Drosophila melanogaster: one gene and its partners. Changing the gene in region 2 together with the main gene of any one other region gives a genetic interaction. Each region holds a gene or a part of one and is shown on either strand. Other genes may lie near its edges. The genes, in order: eag, dpn and sisA.

Region 1 (4,971 bases), on a different chromosome or scaffold from region 2:
TTCGCTGGGGAACTGCCACCAACTTGATGCTCTGTCCTAAAAAAAGGGTGCCGTGGAGCGCGGAGGTGGCGGGTCTGAACGTCTTTGCAACGTGCTCTCTTGAAAAGAGAGGTAGATGGTGAGCGAACACGCTGCTTGCGGGGGTGGGTTTAGACATCAGTAATGGTTATTTAGCCATTTTTTTTTTAATTCTATATTTTTATTTTTATTTTATAACAAATATTTAATAGATAGATAGAAAGTGACAGTATTACATTTTGTCATATTTCATGATTCCTAAAATCATGTTTAGTACCAATATTAATCATTACATATTATTAAATGGGTTTTTTAACCTCAAAAAGAAGCTTTCAATTCCTATTTAAAACAGATCTATTTATTAAGTTCCTCTAAGCCTAAGTTGTTCTTTAGGATAAAATGTGATCCATAAAGCTTAAAAACCAAAAGCTTTATAACAATTGAAGCGTTAATAACAATGTTGCACATGTGCGCTACCTGTTGGTCAATTGCCATTACTCGGCACAACATCCAGGTGGCGCTGTTTTTGTTAAATAATTAATTTTTTTTATTACATTTTGTTAATATGAGAAAAATACAGTACGACGTAAAATGTAGTTAAATATTATTTTCACTTATTTTGACAATTTATGGGGCATATCTTTCCATTGACCACCAAACAACATCCTGATAACCGTAAAATTCGATCAGTTGCCTGAGAGTCGACCGCACAGAAAGGACACAGTACAAGTTGATAACCGGGATCAAAGTCTTGAACAAGAAGCCGTTGCCTATAGTCCTGTTCACTAAGGCATCTGACAGCACCAATAATATATCGATGGATGTAATGGTGGCATAAATCACAAACCATGGACCAATGTAATGCGGCTTGAGCTGGATTCAAATAATGTTTACAATATATTAATGGAATTCAAAGAAGTTTTTGAATAGATATCGTTTTTTTTTTTTTTGTATATGATATTTTTAGTACTCACGGTGGCCAAGGCGTATAGCAGTATTGTCCACGCCGTTAACATTAAAATGCATCCGATGATACGAAAGCGGCGCAATTGCTTGTATTTGAAATTCTTTACCTTCCTTAGCCGATGCGACTTCTTCAGATGCGCCTTCTTGAACAAAATGCTTATGAATTCTAGACAATTGTGAGTCTGTGTTGAGATAGGTGTAATAAATGCACATCTGAAATATAAAGCAATTTGCATATACGCACCGATCCAATGATACTAATGCCCAGAGCATAGTAGAACATGAGGGGGAATATCTGCTCGGAGAACCAAAACAATCTGCCTGCACGCTGATTGTTCGCATCGAAATTAGGCGGGAACTTCCAGATGGAGTATGTTCTGCAGGTGGGTAAGGGTATATCCATATACCTGTGCGCAATGTAGCATAGCACATCACTGAGACACCTTTTGGTATACATGGCGAACTCAGCTAAAGTTTGTACAAATCAATTTTCAATCACAAAAGATGCCTGAAAAATGAGTACAAAATTTTGGTGCAAAGGGAAATGGACTGACTGACTGACTGAAGGGTGACGAATAAAAAATGGAAAAGATTAGATCATTAAAACGTGGCCAACTACTCTCTCTGACGACTATATCATTTTTCCAGTGAATGGAGCTCTTTAAATTCGCCCAGTTTATTTATTTGAAAATCGATAGGAATCGTGTTTCTTTGCCATTTAACCGTTTTTGCCATACGTGCTGATATATCGATACTAACGTGAGTAGCGCCACCTAGCGGGTGGGTAGAACGCTGCACACCATCGATGATTGTCAATGTGAAAGTAACGGTACAATCGGCAGCGACATCGATGTTTTCCCAGCTCTAGCAGCGCGCAACTCACTCGTAGTCGACTTTTAGGTGCGTAGTCGCGAAAAACTATGAAGACGCAACTCTCGCGTCGAGCGGTCCTCAGAATCCGGGATTCGTCCTCCAGTTCGAAAATCCAGCAAATAAATCCAGCATTTTGTGTGCGCCAATCGAATACGATTTTTTTTTATTTTTTTTTCGCCTGAAATATTTTGAAAATTACAACAGTGTAAACGGTGGGAGGGGGTGGTGGTGTGGCGAGAGGGGATTTATGGAAGGGGGAAGTGGGGGCGCCGCGCACGTGTCGACGTCGCAGTAGGCGTCGCAGTCGGCAATTGTTGCACGCTGCTGATCCTACGCGTTTCTCGTTTCATGTTCTTTCTTGTTTGTTGTGTGCTTCTTCGTGTCCCGTTAATTGTTGTTTCTTCTTCTTGTCCTCCTCCACCACCACCTTCACCTACGCTGCTCAACTGCAGTGCAAAGTGAAACGCGAAGAACGCGTTGCAGAATAATCACATCGCAAATACGGCGAAGGCAGGAAAAATTGAAAAGAATTGAAGAATCCAGCGAAAACCAGTGAAGAATCGGAATCAAAGAAAGTATCGGAATCAGCGGAATAACACTAAAAATAAACATACTTATATATATATTAAACATATATATACATATATGTATATATATTTAACCACCATTTAAAAGCAATCAAAAAGCAACTAAACAAACAACAAAAAGCAACAAAAGGTAATCACAAAAGGCTAGGACGAAATATTGTGTAATAAACTTGAATTTCTTTTACTTGCCGCAAAGAAATGGGGAAAAAAATAAAATGAAATAATATATAGAAAAGGAAGCTAGCGAAAGGGGAAGAGTGAGCGAGAAGGCGGCATAAACACACTTCTAATTGTAATTGTTGTCTTTTGTCGTTCTGCCGGCGTCGCTGTCGGCGCTAAAACTTTTTCCTGGCGGCGCAAAAGAGACAGCGCGAACGGCGAAGTTTTGCCCGAAAGAAAATGTAAGGAAAAGCAAAGAAAATTGAAATGAGCAGGGAGCCAGGAGTCGGAGTCGTGGAAAAATGGAACATAATAAGTTAAATTTGCGTGCTCTTGGTTTTCCGTCGATTCATGCTTCGTTTTTTCATTATTTATTTATTCAGTTTTGCGCTGGTTCCTTATTGTTTTCTTAATTTCTTGATGTTTTTCCAGCTATTTCCTACTCCCCGTCATTGAATGTGTGTCAGCCAACAGAAAATGAAATGCGCAATTATGTCAGCAAGCAAATAAAGCGAAAAAAGTTTTAGCAACTACATCAATTGCTTGTTTTTCAAGTGCAACCAACACACAAGCACTCACACACACGCACACACAACGCACTTTGCGGTTGCATAAGTGTCAAACGCAACACACGCTTACAGTTTGACAGTAATTGCGCTCAGAAGTTCAAAAGACAACAAAATACGTTTATTTTTGTGGGAAAATGAAGTCTGTATTATTTAATCAGTGCACTTATGCCCATGTGGCAACTTAATCTAGCTGCAGTGAGAAAAAGAAAACGGTCCTTGAGCAGAACACCAAATAAGTGTGCTATAAATATAGTTTTTACGAATTTCAGATATGCAGTGCGCCTATGCAATACGAATTTAACTTTGCTGCCAACTGAATTTGAAGGAGTATTTGTATTGTATTTCCGGTGCTCGCAGAGCAAAAGGGTATATTCGATTCGTATATGTTTAAGTGATAAAAGTTTCAATGTAAAGGTGAAAAAGAGTGCAAATGTGGGTGGCCTGCGTTAGTTGACATCCGTACAAGATTGATATTGATGCCCTTTACACCCACACAGGCGCAACATTACAAACGCTCCCAAACGCACACACTTACATATGTATACTCTCACAGACACACACATACTGTGAGTCACAGCAACAGGAAACGGGTGAAACTACTTAAATATTTAAAGCATTTGATGCCGAAAGGAGAGGGGGCGATAAACAGAGCGAGACGGAGAGGGGGAAAATTGAATGGGTCGGCCCACTTTTTGCGCCTGGAAGTATGCAAACAATGCCAAATGGCACCAGCACAGAAATGCCGAGTAAATCTTGAGAGCAAGTTTTCCGCCCGCCGAAGAAAACGCGAAAAACCCACAGCCAGGAGAAAATAAAAGAACAACCAAATTCACGAGAAGAGCCCAACAATTTTGTCACGCATGTGTGGCTACAAGTGTGTGTGTGTGTGTGTGTGCCTGAGCGTGCGTGTGTGTTTGTGGGCCAAATGAAAAGAGCCAAAACATTAAAAATGTACCAGCAACCACAACAACACAAATGACAAAAATAACAAGAATAACGGGAATAGCACAGGAAAAGTCCAAGCTGACGGGCGCCGCAATTTGCTGTCAACATAAAATAAATAAAATAAAATAAAAAGAACAAGAAGCAATACCCACACACACACACACGCACATATGTATATGGCCAGTGTGTATGTGTATATATCTTGTTTATAAATCTTTTGTACACTTTTGGCAGTTGACTTTTAGCGCCGACTGTTCCCATTTTCCCATGTTTTCGCATTTTCACGTTCTTTGTAATTTTCAATTTTACTTTGCGCATATTTAATAGCACAAATCGTAAATTAGATTCGCCACACATACATATAGTCCTATTTGTGCACTGAACGCAAAATATGCAGCCTTTAACGGAATAAAATTAAATATACATATATTCTAAGCGATTTATTTTGCAAACTCATTATGATCAATATTTAATTTACATACAATTTTCATACAATTCAGTTAAATATCGAAATTATCTAGAATCTCCAATTTCTATCAGTGTCTTTTCCCTAGCTCCCACTTTTATTACCCAAAAGTTAATGAAGTGTAAGTGTTGTGGAAGGGAAAGGCCCTAGGAATATCCTGCCTAATCAATCAAGCGGCACCAATAAGCCTTTAAACAGATTTGCAAATTTAAAGCATTACGTACTGTGCACGAGCATTTGAATGGTTTGCCAGCGGATTTCCATAGAATATGTTAAATGCCTAACTGCCACCCGTCACTTTTTATATTTTATTCTTTCCCTGACCCTCCGCAAGTGTTTAATGTTTGACATCCGCTGGCATCCGTGTTGCCTTGCCGTCGCTTCCGTT
Region 2 (5,708 bases):
AAAATGTTTGCCAAATTTGCGGCGTTCAAAGGAGCCAAAGTGATCGCCATTAAGCAGGGTGATGTGCTCATCAGTGCAGAATTCAGCCGAACCCCATGGTTTAGTTGCTGTGGATGTTTTAGTTGGTCAATCGTAGCCGTGGCATTTATTCAATTTACGAAAGTTGACATCGGATCAGTGCTGCAGAGCTTGTGCATGATGGATGATCGCCACAGATTATTGCTCAACACGGGATTTACGCTCAGGCCGCGAGGGATCACTTTGCACAACCAGGGTTGCCAGGCGGCGCAATACGTTTACGATCCCACCCAAAACTCCCCAAATCGGTCCATAGGTAGATCTACGTCAGCTGTCAGCTGGCGCATGGCCCGCGTCAGTGGTTATTGACAACTCCTTTGGTCGTAATCCTGCCAACATCGTAAAGTAATAAATTTGCCTGAAAAAGGAAAATCTGCCGGGGATCGACTATAAAAATTGGCCCAGCCAGGTAAGCTCCGTAATGATTGACCCCGACCCTCAGTCCCAGACCCACGACCGATCCAGGTCCGATTCCGATCCATTGCAAGTCGCGATTCCGTCCCGAAACCCAAGCAACCCCCTAAGACGCTTCTGCCGATGAGCCGACCAGGCAAAAGCGAAGAATTTGAAACTAAGGATTTCGCCTTGCAAGGGGGTTGGGTTGTCACGGGGGTTGCGGCAGCTGCGCCGAACAATTGCCAAGGAGTTCTCCTTAATGAATTGCAAATCATTCGCCGGGCATTGATCAAGTTTGTCCTTGCCAAGGGTGAAATCTGTGCGACTAAATGTGCCATCAGCCAGCCACCCAAAAGGGAAACGGACACAAACGGAACATCTGTCGCAAATAATGCTACTCACTGATAACTTATAGAAAATCTCACTTGATACATTTTTTAAGGAACTAAAGATTTTTTGCTTTGCTTTAGCAAATTTCAAGTACTAAAGAAGAATCGCTGTTAATTCTCTGAATATAGTTCATATTTTTGTTAACTATTGCTTTAATCAATTCATTAAAAGTAATAAGCAAGTAAAAAGTAAAAAAAAGTAAAGTAATAATATTCATAAGATTTATAGTAGCTTTGTATAATTATTGCTAAATATATGAATATTCTAAAACAAATAGATTGGGTATTAAGTCGGCTTCGACACGAATTAGAAGATTAAATTCAGTTATAAATTTTTGTTAAATTGTAATAAACTTTAAATTCATTAATGATATGTTATTGATTTTAATGCTTAATTTCCTTCAAAATTATTTAATATACAATGCTTGCTGTATTTTACAATAAAATCAACTAAATTTTGTGGGTTTCGTCAAGCCAAAGGCTAATGACTTGGCTTAACCGAATGTTGTGTTGTTTCTCGATCAGGCTCGACTTAGTCTCGTTTACTTGAGTTAAGCTCCTATTTTCACTAATCCCCTGGAATCCGCAATTCGTTGACTCGGCAACTCTGCCTGCCTGGGAATACCTACTCAAATACTCACTTAAATCTCACTCCGAGTGTGAACTCATTGGATTTGGGGTGGTTATGCACTCACTCACTCTCCGATTGAGCGCAACTGCGCTGCTGCGGTGAAAAGTTCTCAGTCTGCGGACGGCGATCGTTGGGCTGCCTACCTGCCTCAGCTCTGCCTCTGCCGCTGCCCGCGTCGCCAGGTAAGAGAGTCCCTCGGTTTCACTCGTGGACTCGTTTCGGCTTCGACCCGATTCGTTTTTAGCTGGTGCCCGTGGACTCGGAGGATCAGTATCCTTTTGGCATCTCGCGAGCGCGGTCGTCTGCCGCTCTCCTTTGAATGAACATTTAAAATACTATTCTATACGATTCGATAACCAGAACGATCTTTAACGCGTACCGCTTGTTAAGTTTTTGTTGTTCGGACATTACTAAGAAGTACGTGCAATAATTGTTATAACTATTTTCGTACTCGAACCAAAGTTATTGTGTTGTGAAAAAGACCAAATCGAAATCGAACTATCTTGGATTATCTCCCACTTGGATATACAAATTAAAATCGTTACAAAATGGATTACAAAAACGATATTAATTCCGACGACGATTTCGACTGCTCCAACGGCTATAGCGACAGCTATGGCTCCAATGGACGCATGTCCAATCCCAATGGATTGTCAAAAGCAGAACTTAGAAAGGTGAGTTCGCTCTTTTGCGATGAAATTGGACTCGCAAACTAAAAAATAGCAGAGTTTATTAGCACCCTCGATCGTTTTGAACCTTTTCATTTTAATGGCTTAGAAAATGTAAAGCATTAAATTAATTTTAAAAATCAAGTGAAACCCTTGTTTTATATAAACAAAGATATCCCTTAAACTGAAATAAATTCCTACGAAATAAACTAATTGATTCCCTTTCTTTTCTAGACCAACAAACCGATTATGGAGAAACGTCGCCGAGCTCGCATTAATCACTGCCTCAACGAACTGAAGTCCCTTATCCTGGAGGCGATGAAAAAAGACGTAAGTATCTTGCCCGAGCGTCAAAGCAGAAAAGGAGCGGTCCGCCCGCGAATTAGAAACTAGCCCCCGATCCCTTTTGGTTCACTTTCTTATAAATAATGTTAGTCCACAAAAAAAAACCTTTAAGGCACAAGTGTCCGAAGGGCGGCAGAACTACAAAAGAACAAAAAAATGTATAAAAAACGAACTCCTACGACACAAGAACTGAAAAAAAAAACACAAACCAAGGGCTCTAATTGAGTATTAAATTTTATTGATGATCATTACACTAGAGCGCCGACGAGGAGTCAGTCAAGAGACCAAAAAGTGTTAACAAGTCGAGGAATTACGCAGAAATCGCCGGAGATGCGAACGAAACCAGTTTCCAAGGAGTGATCCTGCTGTGAGAAACTACAAAGCAGAAATCAAGTAAAATTTGCCGCCGCAGAATTCTGCAGGAGAGCCGGACCAAAAATCAAATAAGAAAGACATTGAGGGAAAAAAGCAAAAGTAAACAAAAGGTTCAGACAGGGGAGCGGGGGAGGTTGAGGGGGCGGGGCTGGCGAGCGACCTGCGTGGGAACCTTTTGCTAAAATATGCAGTCCCAGCGGCGAGAAAGGGACGAACAATCGGGGACCGAAGACTGGCGAAGATCGCACTGCGCGAAAAAAGAAGATCAGGAAGAACGATTTGGAATCTTCTGTGCCCAAAAAGTCTTCATATGAGATCACAAACGATAAGATCGGCGAGTAGTTTATTTTAGAACCACTTACTAAAGACAGTCACTTTTCCATCATTAGTATTCACTTGCCAGAAAATTTGACTTTAAGCCCCCTTTTTGCTCAGTGCACAGTAGCAAGATCAGTCGTTCTTCTCGCTGGAGTTGCTGAATCTCACCTTGGTCGTGTGATATTTACAGAGTGGACTCGACTGAAGTGGACTGCAGATTACACGCGAATAGTTGGACATATGAGGCACGAAACGTGCTTCTTAACTTCGCTTTTTCCCAAGCTATTGAACTTGTTGTAGGGCCCCAAACAATTAGCCCGACCATCTCCCACCCCATCCCCATTTCATCATTATCTGACTTTGGTTCCTTCGTCTTCTATACTTTTAGCCGGCTCGTCATACCAAACTGGAGAAGGCCGACATACTTGAGATGACGGTGAAGCATCTGCAGTCGGTGCAGCGCCAGCAGCTCAACATGGCCATCCAATCGGATCCCAGCGTTGTCCAGAAGTTCAAGACGGGATTCGTTGAGTGCGCGGAGGAGGTGAACCGCTATGTAAGCCAAATGGATGGCATCGATACCGGTGTTCGTCAGCGGCTCAGCGCCCATCTTAACCAGTGTGCCAATAGTCTGGAGCAGATCGGTTCGATGAGCAACTTCAGCAATGGATACCGTGGTGGCTTGTTTCCCGCCACAGCTGTCACGGCTGCTCCCACTCCGCTGTTTCCCTCGTTGCCGCAGGACTTGAACAACAACAGCCGCACGGAGTCATCGGCTCCGGCCATCCAAATGGGTGGACTTCAGCTAATTCCCTCCCGCCTGCCCTCGGGAGAGTTTGCCCTCATCATGCCGAACACAGGTTCCGCTGCTCCGCCTCCGGGACCCTTTGCCTGGCCAGGATCTGCAGCGGGAGTCGCAGCTGGAACAGCCAGTGCCGCCTTGGCCAGCATTGCCAATCCCACACATCTAAATGACTATACACAGAGCTTCAGGATGAGCGCGTTCAGCAAACCGGTCAATACCTCAGTTCCGGCCAATCTTCCGGAAAACCTCATCCACACACTGCCCGGCCAAACGCAGCTGCCGGTGAAGAACAGCACAAGCCCACCGCTGAGCCCAATCTCCTCCATCTCCAGCCACTGCGAGGAGTCCCGGGCTGCCTCGCCCACCGTGGATGTGATGAGCAAGCACAGTTTCGCCGGCGTCTTCTCAACTCCGCCACCAACCAGCGCGGAGACCTCCTTCAACACCAGCGGATCCCTCAACTTGAGTGCCGGAAGCCACGACAGCAGCGGATGCTCGCGACCGCTGGCCCACTTGCAGCAACAGCAAGTGAGCTCCACCAGCGGAATCGCCAAGCGCGACAGGGAGGCGGAGGCCGAGTCCAGCGACTGCTCCCTGGACGAGCCCTCGTCCAAGAAATTCCTAGCTGGCGCCATCGAAAAGTCGAGCTCCGCTTGGAGGCCGTGGTAGATCAACCGCACAGGCCACTTCTATGTTACGTTTATACATTGTTAATTTATTTCATTGCAATTTTTTCAAAGATCACTTCAATGCTTTAGAACCCCATTAAGTTTCAACGATTTCTATATGTTTTTATGTATCCCCGTTTCGCTTTCTTCATTTTAAGTTCAGCTGTGATTTTGTATATTTTTTGTGTAGTTCTCGTTTAAGCGCTTTATACGACTATTATGTAGTTCATTAAATAATTATGTTCTTTAATGTTTCATTAACTGCTCAAGTATTTAAACAATTAAACGTGTTTCTATTTAAGTTATGTAGTTTTCATTGTATAGCGTTTATCATTAGGTCATTCACGTTTCTATATTAGTGTTTTAATTTAACGATTGTAATTTTAACTTTTAGGTAATGCAAAATTCGATGGAGTGAAAATAATGATAATAAAAAAAAAATGCTGCAAAAGAAAAATCCATCCAAATTTAATGGTTCCTTGGTTCTTAACTGATTAGAATTGGAAAATTCAAGATCGCATCAACAATCAATAGTACTTGAACTCATTGAAAAGTCGGAAGCTGAATTCAAATCAATACGGAAACAGCCTTATCATGTATGTTCGATGTTTTCGCAAAGTTTGATTGAAAAGATAACTCAATCGAAAGCTCCCAATCCATGCTATATAAGCAATAGGCGGAACACATTTAGTGTGTCAAAAACTAAATTATTGCAATCAAGAGCGCGCAGTGACTTTCAGGCGTGCATTGAAAAATCTCAGAAATTATAAAAACAATTTAATTGAAAAATTTTAATTTTACCATGCCAGGAAATCTGTTTCAAGTGTTACTAACTGTGGCGATCCTGCCAGCTATTAGTTTGGCATCTAGTTCTGAAGATGGTCTGCACCATTACCGTGCTTCTCCAAAGCTCACGGGTCCTGTGAAGCTCCTACACGATCCCGAGGACACCATTCTGAACACCTTGGATGGCGCTCTGGAGAAGATCTCCACCATCTACATGCAGGCCTTGTTCGCTGGTACCCACACCCCGGA
Region 3 (3,209 bases), on a different chromosome or scaffold from region 2:
AATTTCTGTAGTAAAATATGCAATTTACGTACGTCCTTCTAATGATTTCACAGCTTTTCTTTAAACGATATATACTATACATACATATATTTTAATTTAATGCCTTGGACAATTTATTGCTGCGCTGACATAATTCAAACTCAATGTCGTTTTCGGGGATGTGGCGGAGTCTCCTTCATGTGCGTCCATTTATCGTCGCCTTGCTCCTCGATTTTCAGTACTCTTTCTAAGGGTATAGTGTTTCTTTATTGTCCGAAAATGGAAGCCCTAGTTCAACATTTGAGTATATAGAAATAAGAGTATATACATATTTCCTTGAGTCATCCAATTCAGCTAGAGTATTCCGGCCATCGGCATTCCCAACTTATTCTCAAGCTGAAAACTGTCAGGCTTCAAGTGTTCCTGCGGGGTTTGGTTTGGTTTTGGGTGGCCAATTGGGATTTGGTCGAAAATGATTATAAATGGTTTTTTAATTATACTTGTCTGCATATTTTCTCATTTGCCAAACAAACGCGGCGCTGTCGATTTTATTGTTCACATGGCAAATGGTTAATGCCGAATGGAAAATGGTAAAATGCGAAAAATGGAAAAATTATTGCCCGTCTGCCGCTGACAGCTTGCCCCCATCTGGCTGAAATGGGGGATTTCGAATTAAAACTGCTTTCGGTCACTAAAAATACTCAATTGTTTTGCCAATTACCCAGCGGAGTTATTTATGCCAGTTATGTAATTCGAGTGGCACACATGTGCAGCGTTGTAAATTGAAATACATGAAAATGGAGCAAGTGGAAAGTATATTTTGGGTACTTGCAGTGTTATAACATTTTACTGCTTTTTGTTCAACAATTAATTGGTTATTTAATTAGCATAAGTTGCTGCTTGCGTCATATTGTTCTATAATATTGCTAGTTAAATATTACATTACATCAGCCAGAGATAGCAACTATTTATGGATTTTGAGTTTGGTCCACCAAACTCTATTACATATTATTCTCAGCCAAAGGGATTTCTGGTTTAACCCTTTGAGGCCTGCTAAGCAGGTCGCTGAACCCCTCATCGTTTCGAGGGCTGTTAAATTAATTAATAGACTAAATGCGGTCGGTTCGGCTGGTTAATCCCACGACAACAAGCCGCAACTTGTTTGCCACCACGTCGAAAGTGGCTCCTTGAAATGGCTACCTGATGCGGGAAACCCACTTCCAGATGGGTTGATCCGGAATGGACAAATAGCAACTTTAGCAGGTAGCAATGGCAATCGATATTGGTGTCTCTTATCGCATAATGCCGCCTGATCCCACCCGCTTGACATGCTCGTATTTGCCCAAGCAGGTTGATTTTCCACATAGCCCAACATTTGTTGACTCATTTCGGCTGCTAGATAAGGCGCGAATCGGCAAATGGATGGTGATAGACGAACAGCCCAGCTTGACCTTGGGATTATTGTGGATTTAATGACGCCCTTATCAGTTGCATTGAATCGTATCTCTTGGCTTAGAATATCTTTTATATTATGGGGAGTATTTGCATACCGACATACATATGTATGTAGGTAGCCATTGAAGAAACCCACATATTGGTTCGCACCTGATCCTTTTGTTTTTAAATTTGACCAATTATCAGGTAGACTCAGTGCGTCTGCTACCCTAATCCCTTTGTTTACATATCTGCGATTCGTTGGCCAATCCGGATGCAGGTAGGCGGTGTCCAGCAAGGCGACAAGATTGAGGAAAACAAGATCATAAATCCCAGTGACCGCCATTCATGAAGGTAGAACCCGCGAATAACCCATCCAGTGTCCAATGGCAAGCTACCTGCGGAAATGGTATAAAACGGGGCTGACATATTGCCTAAGGCAGCATTAGCACACGAAATCTCGACGAGAGCAGTCACAGACCACGTCACACATCGAAAAAAATCACCATGGAACGGAGTCATCTTTACTTGCCCACTCTGAGCTACGCGGCCATGGGTCACGTATACGCACCGTATCGCGGAAGCAGTTCACCCGCACTATCGACAGCATCGTCAACATCATCGAAGCCGGAGCAGATCGAGGAGCTGGTGTCCCAGCAGCTGCATCATCTCAAAATGCACTACGCCGACGAGGAGCAACGCTACGTAGACCAGATGCTCCTGGAGAATCCCATTGTTGTGGAGCGCCGTGCACCGCCGCCGCTGAAAACGGAGCTTGCTATGGATTGCCGCGGATCGGGTTCCGGATCAGGTTCCGGTTCTGGTTCGGATGTCAAGGATGCCCAGCGTCAGAGGGCCGAGTCGTGCCGCAAATCCCGCTACAACAACAAGATCAAGAAGGCCAAGCTGCGCTTCCGGCACAAATTCGTCAGCGGGCAGCTGAAGAAGAGCGCCGTCATGTTGGACACGATGCGGGATGTGATTGCCCAGGCGGAGAGGCAGCTGCTCGAGCGGGGATATCCCGCCGCCACACTCGAGCGGATGCGGGCCACTTTCGGCCTGGAAATGGAGCAGTGATATCATAGTGTAGCTATGTGTCGCAGGAACGGATCCCTGACTAGTCCAGCATTAGCCATACCACTTTTTTTTTTTGTTGACTATATCTAGTATTTATCTAAGCATATTATTAAATTTTTAAATAAAATTAAGAATCATATTGAAAACGAATGCTTTCTTATTCAAATATTTGTTATAGGTTCACACGATCATATGGAGTCAAGGATAACTTGTTAATTTCACTTTACAAGAATTTCCCATAATTTGGATGCATTTATTCTGCATTTAACGCATCGGCAGTCTTGGGGTTTCCTTCGCCTGGCCGAAGGTAATCCCATCGGAATTGGGCCAATGCAATGCACCCATTTCGACTTGCTTAAGTTCAGTTCATTTGATCCGACATGATTGCACTTCGCTTTCCCCGTTTCACGTTTTTCCCCCTTTCCATTCTTTTTTTCCCTTTTTTTTTTTGGCTTGCGAACAATTTGCGTTGCCAAAAGCAGCAAATGCAATGGAAGTAATGGCCTTAAGAGCAGGTTTCTGTAAGAGATTGTGGCTAAATTTAGTGGGGCTACTACTGCAAATAGCACCCCACTTTCTGGTTGGTGTTTTCATTTAAGAACTGCGAACTGAACTTGGAAGCTTTACTAAATGCTTGCCAAGGGTATATACTATGTATATATATATACAATATAATTTTAATAACTACATATATTTTTTAAGTAATTTCTCATAATATC

What was found.
Region 1: of dpn (region 2) and eag, changing one suppresses a phenotype caused by changing the other (phenotypic suppression), as found in Drosophila melanogaster (one study listed by BioGRID).
Region 3: of dpn (region 2) and sisA, changing one suppresses a phenotype caused by changing the other (phenotypic suppression), as found in Drosophila melanogaster (one study listed by BioGRID).

Annotation. Positions count from the first base shown.
Region 1 is NC_004354.4:14,953,556-14,958,526, forward strand, and holds the start of eag (ether a go-go), read left to right. Parts: upstream 1-1,921; 5' UTR 1,922-1,994; intron 1,995-2,309; 5' UTR 2,310-2,574; intron 2,575-4,971. Other genes in the region: CG9030 (uncharacterized protein), read right to left, coding at 646-891, 993-1,166, 1,229-1,441. UniProt on the Drosophila melanogaster protein: Structural component of a potassium channel. Mediates the potassium permeability of membranes; potassium current is regulated by CaMKII and CASK. Has a role in growth of the perineurial glial layer of the larval peripheral nerve.
Region 2 is NT_033778.4:8,228,383-8,234,090, reverse strand, and holds dpn (deadpan), read left to right. Parts: upstream 1-1,760; 5' UTR 1,761-2,042; coding exon 2,043-2,168; intron 2,169-2,396; coding exon 2,397-2,492; intron 2,493-2,502; exon of another isoform or gene 2,503-2,987; intron 2,988-3,025; exon of another isoform or gene 3,026-3,588; coding exon 3,589-4,674; 3' UTR 4,675-5,120; downstream 5,121-5,708. Other genes in the region: CG34217 (uncharacterized protein), read left to right, coding at 5,476-5,708. UniProt on the Drosophila melanogaster protein: Transcriptional repressor of genes that require a bHLH protein for their transcription.
Region 3 is NC_004354.4:11,321,002-11,324,210, reverse strand, and holds sisA (sisterless A), read left to right. Parts: upstream 1-1,853; 5' UTR 1,854-1,920; coding exon 1,921-2,490; 3' UTR 2,491-2,632; downstream 2,633-3,209. UniProt on the Drosophila melanogaster protein: Involved in sex determination and dosage compensation. Required for proper expression of Sxl in embryonic somatic cells. Also has an essential function in the yolk nuclei. Involved in endoderm migration and midgut formation.